2 linked regions of the Diceros bicornis minor genome follow. The protein of the gene in region 1 purifies or fractionates together with the protein of each later gene. This does not show direct contact. Links are inferred from orthologs where the notes say so. Each region holds a gene or a part of one and is shown on either strand. Other genes may lie near its edges.

Region 1 (3,750 bases):
ATTTAAGCTGCCCATTCATTCCCTCAACAAACACTTGGTCTCTCAATTTAAGAGATCTATATAAACGTAGTTCTGAAAACTAAAACCTGCTACCTGAAATTGTCAAATGCAAACAGATATATTAGATATGAGAGAAGATTTTAAATGCACATAAAATTAAAATAATTTTGGATAACAAAAGCATCAAATCACACAGCTCTTCACTATAATATTGGCACAAATTTAGTACAGTTATACTACTACTAATATAAAAATCTCTCTAAAAATAACATATCACACAACGAAAATTATTTGAAAAGCTGTTAGAATTCTTTGGAATTGGATGTCAATTAACACTTGCCAGCTTAACACTTAATATACAAATAAGTGCTAGATCTTAAATTTGGTCTTCTTAATCAGAGATAGGGTTGAGGAAAAACTGTTCAGCTGTATGTGCAAAGCATCTGGTTCCCTCTACTCAGAGGGACAGACACACTCTAGTGCCAGTGAAGGGGGATTTAAAATACCCCAGGGCAAACCCACCTTCTTTGATTGCCATTTACTTTTAAAAGCGAATTCCCAAGCCTGAAACTAGTGCAGTACACGCAATTAGGAGTAGTCATTAGACTAAATTATGCTGCTCTGTACCAGAGGCTTTATGAAACTCATCCCAAAAAGCATGGAGTTGGGGCTTTCTTTATGAAGCATGCCCTCAGTTACTATATAACCATCCAAAAGACAGGAGAATGCTCGTCCAACAGAAAGTTTCCCCCATCCCAGAGAGGATGAAGAATTCTCTGGGATAGTTGAATATTGTTCATTATCTAACTTTAAATCATAATTAGTTATAGGAGGTATGCAATCGACAATCAAAGACTTCATTTTACTGGACTATTGAATCCTACATAGAAACAAAATTTCAAAGCTGGAACCAGCCTTACCCATTTAACTAAATGTTCCTTGACTCCACTTCCACATCTCCGTCCCTTCCAAGCATACACATAAGAAAGAAAAGGACTGAAGAAAGAATACACACATGTAAATTTACAGGGAGACCTTACCCCAACTGGGTCTTTAAGACTCGTTTGGGATCCTTTCTTCACTAGAGGTTTCCTGGGTGTCTTAGTCCTCCTGGTCATAGATAAAAAAACATTTCAGTTCAACACGAACATACAAAAACCTCACCTATAAGTCATACAGAGACAACCTTCCTAGGGTTTATAAAATTACTCCTTAGCAATTCCAAAACACTACATCCCAAATAACATGAATAAGAATAAATTCCAGTAGAAGAGTGTTTGTGGCATGCATAATCCAAAAGTAATTAAAATAGGTTTAGGAGACGTTTCGCTACTAAGTGTACCTACTTACTCTTTGAATAGTTCTATATTTAAAATAGTTCTCTATGGAAAAATAGCTTGTATATTTTCTTGAGCAACAATTTTACAGAGGCACTACCAATTTGAAAAATCTACAGATAACTGACCACACTTATCTTGAAAGGTATTTATATATGCACACAAGCACACACACTGCGCCAACAGCCATTGCCAAGGCAGACTGACAAGCTATTAACTTCAATAAATTATAAAAATGCAGATGGAGGAATCCACCTTTTCATCAAGATTTATGTCTCTACTTTCAAGGAACAACTGGTTATTGAATTCTCAAAACTATCATCCTTTGTCCCCAAACAAAATGTGCTCCTCAAACTGCAATATCTTGCTCCCTTAGAGACAAAAGAAGATATTTTGACTTATTTCACCATTTCTCTAGCATGCCACTTTTTCCCCTCCACATTTATCTATAGGCTAGATGAACATTTAACACTAAAATTAATTGAAATTATTGGCTTGGACTATAGATCATTAAAATATTTTCTCAGTATTTTCCCAGATGAAACAGAAGCAAATTAGTGTTTTAAGTGCAAAGTATTATGGTAGCTTTACTTAAATTTTTTTTAAGATAAAGATCTTTACTTTGGCCACTTAAGGAAACAAGCTGCCTTTTGCAAACGACTAGCTACATGAGGATGATAATTATAAAGTCAACCCCCTTCTTTGCACAGTATTTCTCTACCCAGTAGCCGGTCAAGGAATTATGCGGCGCCTAAAACGTCACCGACTTGGTGAGGAGTGTGGGCGTGTGCGCTCGTGTAGGGGCGGGGGCCGTCTGCGGCCAAAGAACAGAAGAGTAACTGGCCTATATAAGGGCATGGGCTCGGCCTCGAGGACGCCAGGGCTCTCAGGGGACTGAGACCCCCGCCCCAACCCCCCACACCGGGGCACATCACTCGGCGCCACACGCGAGACGACCCCCGCCCACGTCGCCTCCGACCCGCACTAACTCGGCAAAATGCACCCCGGAGCGCGGGCGGCCAAAGAGGGAAGAAGAACCGAAGGGCGGGAGGCGGCGGTCCCGGAGCGAGGCGGACGGCAACCCGGCTACGGGGACGGCGTCGGGGCGCAAACCTCCTCCCGCCCCCCGGCGTGGGGCGACCTCTCCCGGCCGCGGGAGGCCAGGGCGGGGCGGCGGGCGCCGGCTCCGGGCGGCGAACGGACGGGTCTCGGCGCCCGGGCTCCCAGTTTGGGGGCCGCGGCCCGGGCAGCGCGGGGCTGGGGGCGGAGGGCGCGGAGCGCGGCGGGCGGCGGCGTGAGGACTGGGGGCCCCTGCTGCGCGGCCCCGTACTCACGCCGGCTTCATGGCGGCGGGCTCCGCGCTGCCCCGACGCGCGCGGGACGCCGGGCTCGATCGGGCGGACTGGCGAGGACGGCCGGCCGCAGGGACGGGCTTCGGCAAGCGGGGCTCGGCGGCTCAGGCGCGGCGCTGGGGGAAGCCGGACGACGCCGCGGCGGGCCCAGGTGAGCTCGCGCCCGGCGCATTTCAAACGGGCCAATCAGCGCTCGTCAGCGGGCAGGGGCGGGGCCGCAGAGGCGGTGACTGCTCTGCCGGAAGTGACGCTCGTCTCCTAGGCGACCGACGCGGGAGGGGGCAGAGAAGGCTGGCTGTCCGGGCTGCGGGCCTTGAGGGCGGACCTCGGATATGAAATCCCACCCCTTCCATTTTCCGATGAGGAAATTGACGGTTTGTTTTCCTACAGCACAAGAAGGACGGTGGGAGGGCAAGTCCCGGGTTGATTTAGAGGGGTCAGCAATGTCGTTCCCGCCCAGGAGTGTCCTGTTCTTGTGCTGTGCCCTGCCCAGAGTCTCAGACTCCCTCTCTGGCTTCTATATCGCTACATCATCTCGGCCTTCTCTCTCTCTTCTTCATCTTTCCTGGCCTCACCCTCTCTGGTTCCTCCAGCTCTTTCCTATATATACATTGTTTCCTCAAATTGTTATTAATATTTGATCCTGGGCATACAGAGATGAAAAAGATTTGGACCTTGCCCTCGAGGAGGAACGTCCTGAACCACTTTCTTAGTTAACTGATTCTTTCTCATTTCGACCTTTGCCCCTAAACTGATGGGTATCAAATATGCATCTACATCTGTGCCCTGGTGGAAGTCTAGTCCCATCTTCACAGCTTCCTACAGGACCAGACACCAGTAAGGATAGGCATAATGTAATATCCTTGGCCCATATTGTTTGACATAAAGATGGTTCTGATCTTTGCTGTTACATAGTTATGTGAATAAACTTGGAAATTCATCATTTTACACAATGCAAGTAAATCTGTAGGATAAATTCCTAGAAGCAGAATTGCTGAATCAAAGAGTAAATGCATGCGTAATGTTTCATAGATATTGCCAAATTGTCCTCCATAAATGTT
Region 2 (3,750 bases), on another chromosome or scaffold:
TTTCTGGGAAATGAGTTTTTCCTTCTGGCACAAAGCTTTGTAAACCGGTACCTGGCTTATCATGATTGCTACAATCACTGTATGAATCTTCATCTTGGAAGAAACCTAAGAGAACAACAAAAATAAGTAGGCTCAACTATCCCAGACACATCCAGTGCTTATACACTGCTACTGTTTTCATATCCTTGCTTAGAAACTCCAAGCAAAACATAAACAAGGATTTGGTATGATGCTTTCCTTACCTCTATCGTTGTCAGAAGAAACCAGTTTTCCAAACTTAAAAATATCTCAAAATCCAAGTTCTACTTCAAAATAATATGAACTTAAAATCTTTCACAGGTTAGGTTTTTGTTGTTGTTCTGTGAAGTTTTTCAGGGAGGCAGAGCAAGAGGGTTGTTTTTTATTTCAGTGGAAATCACCCAAGTTCTCCTTCAAAGGATACAGCTATGATTCTTACTATGGCTAGCAACGTGTAACAGTCAAATATCTTAGTCTTTTTTTTCCCAAAACAATTCCATAAAGCTGCATTAAAGTAAAGAGCTGGTTTCCTACACTCCCTCTCAAACGAGTTGAAGTCTCCTTTTATTTTCTACAACATCAGTCTGTCAATGGTCCCTCAATAAACAGGGATGAGAGATTCTTAATAGTGCATAAGGTTTACTTCACTAAAGCTACTAGGTTCCTCCTCACTAATTTCAATGACTGTACCTAAGGAAAAGATTAGAAAATGCTAATCACATTCGGGTTGGGCTGTATGTAATTATGTTTCATAAGGCCTGATTTGGCCAGTGGCATATCTAATTCTGTGTAATATGATGTTTTTAATCAACAAAACGACTACTAAATAAACAATGCTGAGGGTAGCATTTAGACTCGCAAAGTAGTTTCCAGAGGTGGTTTCAGGGAACGTATCTGAGACTGTTATTAGCAGCAGTCTTTCTCTCCCTCCACCCCCTACATTTTCTCTTTCTTCGACTTCTTTGCCCCTGTTCAGCCACCAGAATTACTTGACCCAACAGATGACCAAAGTGTACTCAAGGGGCTACTGCTCTCCAACACCAGCGCACATGAGCCTCAGAGGACATCAATACCTTACTAGCTGTGAGACAACCTCTCTGTGCATCAGTTTCCTCTCCTATAAAGGGAAGGTAAAATAGTATGCCTACTTCAATTAAATTGAGAATTAAATAAATTACTTGTTAATCACTTACAACAGTACCCATCACATAGTATATGTAAATGTTTGTTAAAGAACTAATACCTTCACCTCACACCCATTAGGATGGCTACTATCAAAAAAACAAGAAAAGCTATCAAGAAAACAAGTGTTGGCAAGGATGTGGAGAAATAGAAACCTTTGTGCACTGCTGACAGGCATGCAAAATGGTACAGCTGCTGTGGAAAACAAAATGGTGGTTCCTCAAAAACTTAAAAATAGAATCACCATATGACCCAGAAACTCCAGTTCTGGGTATACACCCCAAAGAATTGAAAGCAGGGTCTCCAAGAGATATTGGTACACCCACATTCATAGCAGCATTATTCACAATAGCTAAAACAGGGAAGCAACCCAAGTGTCCATCAATGGATAAATGGATAAGCAAAATGTGGTATATCCATACAATAGAACATTATTCAACCTTAAAAAGGAAGGAAATTCCGCAATATGCTACAACATGGATGAACCTTGAGGACATTATGCTGAGTGAAATAAGCCAGTCACAGAAAGACAAATACTGTATGATTCCACTGATATGAGGTACTTAGAGTAGTCAAAATCATAGACAGAAAGTATGATCATGGTTGCCAGGCCTGACGGGAGGGGGAATGGGGAGTTATCATTCAACAGGTATAGAGTTTCAGTTTGCAAGATGAAAAGAGTTATGGGATTGGATTCTGGTGATGGCTATACAACAACGTAAAAGTATTTAATACCACTGACCTATACACTTAAAAAATGATTAAGATGGTAAATTTTATGTTATGTGTATTTTAACAATAAAAAAAGAGGAAAAGAAAGAATACCTTACGTCAGCACAATTCTTTACAGCCACTTTGAAAGTACTGCTTTTCACACATTATTTCACTTCATTGACACCACTCTGTAGGACCATTGGCTCTGTTTTCCAGATGGGAAAACTGAAGCCACGTGACTTTTGCCAGTTCATAAGAGGGGTTAGTAGTGGAATTAAGTCACATCCATGTTTTCTCACTTTGTCAGGACTTTCCAGTACACAATGCAACTGAAAATGTTAAACTAAAAACCTGAACCAGCTTAAAATATCAGGAAAAATAAATAAATAATGGAATCTCCATAAAGAGGCAGAAAGGACTGAGAACTAGACCTGGGTTCTATTTTCAGACTCTGTCCCAAATTGGCTCCGCTAACTTTGGGCATGTCACCTGCCCTCAGTGCTCAGTGCAGCTATCTAGGCCAAGGGTTCAGGTTGCTTCTTTCGAGAAAGCAGAGTGTGGTTCACGACCTCCTCTGAGATGCGGATAGAAAAGGTGAGCCCTCCCGCACAGAGACAGGCGCCCCGAGCCTCCGGAAGCCCACCCAGACATCCGGGCTGGGAACTCCCGGCCGGTCAACTCCTCCCGGTCTCGGGAAGCTGAGGCCAGACTGCCAGGGAGAAGGGGCAGTTGCCCAAGGTACCGCCCGACTTTGACGTCCCGAGAGTGGGTCGGAGCCTCGCACGGCCACCATCGTCACCCCGCCCGCGGGTCCGGAAGGCCTAAGACCCGGGCGCCCTCGGGGGGCCCAACGCCACAGGCCGCCGCGGACACGGCCCGCCGCTGGGAGGCGGCTCCTCGGCCGGCAGGGCGGGTGCTCACCTTTCTCGAGGGGCGCCGGCTCCTCCTCGGCCCCCCAGCCACTGGGCTCCGGCCCCGGACACGGCGCCATCGCCTCCGACCCCAGCCAGACACCCGCCAGCACCCCGTCAGCCATTTCAAATTTCCGCGGGCGGCCTCCTAGCCTCGCGATGTGATGATGCGGGCGCTTCTGATTGGAGAGTGGGCCGAGGCTCTGGGGCCAATGAAAGGGAGGCTTGCACAGCCCGTATCCGCACGGGCCCCGCCCCCTGCAGCCTCCGCCGAGCGCGTGACCTGCGCCTGCGCGCTGTCCGCTGGCGGGCGAGAGGTTCTTCTCGCCCCCGGGTTTTGGGTTTCTGTTTACAGGGAGGCGGTTGACAAAGTTGAATTGGGACGTAATTTGAGGTGATTTTCGAAGAACTAACAAGCCATGCCTGGAAATGGGGCTCTTAACCTAGAAGTAAAGAGCCAAAATGAGAGGCAGTGGAGCGTTTGTTTTGGGATCACAGAATTGAATTCGGGGAGCACAGGTTCAGGTGGAAACCCAAATAGTGTCCCAATTACAGGAGAGGGGCTTAGGGTTTTTATGAGGGAAAGGGAGGATGAGGTGAGCTGTATTAAAGAAGAGTTCGTTGGTGCTGGGTTAGGTAAGGCTAGGTTTGTACTTCATAGGTTGGCCTGAGGTTCCATCCTCAGACAAAAGGCCAGAATTGTACTTCATTGACTGGTTAGTTGTGGGTCACCAGCCAAGTCCAGTTTCATCAGTCCTTACAAACAAGATACCCTTCTCCATACTGACTTCTTTGGATGGTTAGTGGTTTGCAAGATAAAGAAAACAAAATGGGCAAGACGATTCCTCTGAAATGGCTGCTCTGGCTCTATTTTAAAATGGCTCCACTCATGTCGTCTTTCACAGGGTATAGAGGAAAAGGCCCT

What was found. Proteins that work in one complex are often made in the same cells at the same time.
Region 2: the proteins of KIF23 (region 1) and SHCBP1 purify together in Homo sapiens (affinity purification with western blotting; 9 studies listed by BioGRID and IntAct, with this or other methods). This does not show direct contact. The link is inferred for Diceros bicornis minor from reciprocal best matches to the Homo sapiens genes KIF23 and SHCBP1.

The regions. Positions count from the first base shown.
Region 1 is NC_080744.1:63,211,727-63,215,476, reverse strand, and holds the start of KIF23 (kinesin-like protein KIF23), read right to left. Parts: upstream 2,796-3,750; 5' UTR 2,683-2,795; coding exon 2,672-2,682; intron 1,111-2,671; coding exon 1,041-1,110; intron 1-1,040.
Region 2 is NC_080771.1:562,363-566,112, forward strand, and holds the start of SHCBP1 (SHC SH2 domain-binding protein 1), read right to left. Parts: upstream 2,966-3,750; 5' UTR 2,951-2,965; coding exon 2,836-2,950; intron 106-2,835; coding exon 1-105. UniProt on the Homo sapiens protein: May play a role in signaling pathways governing cellular proliferation, cell growth and differentiation. May be a component of a novel signaling pathway downstream of Shc. Acts as a positive regulator of FGF signaling in neural progenitor cells.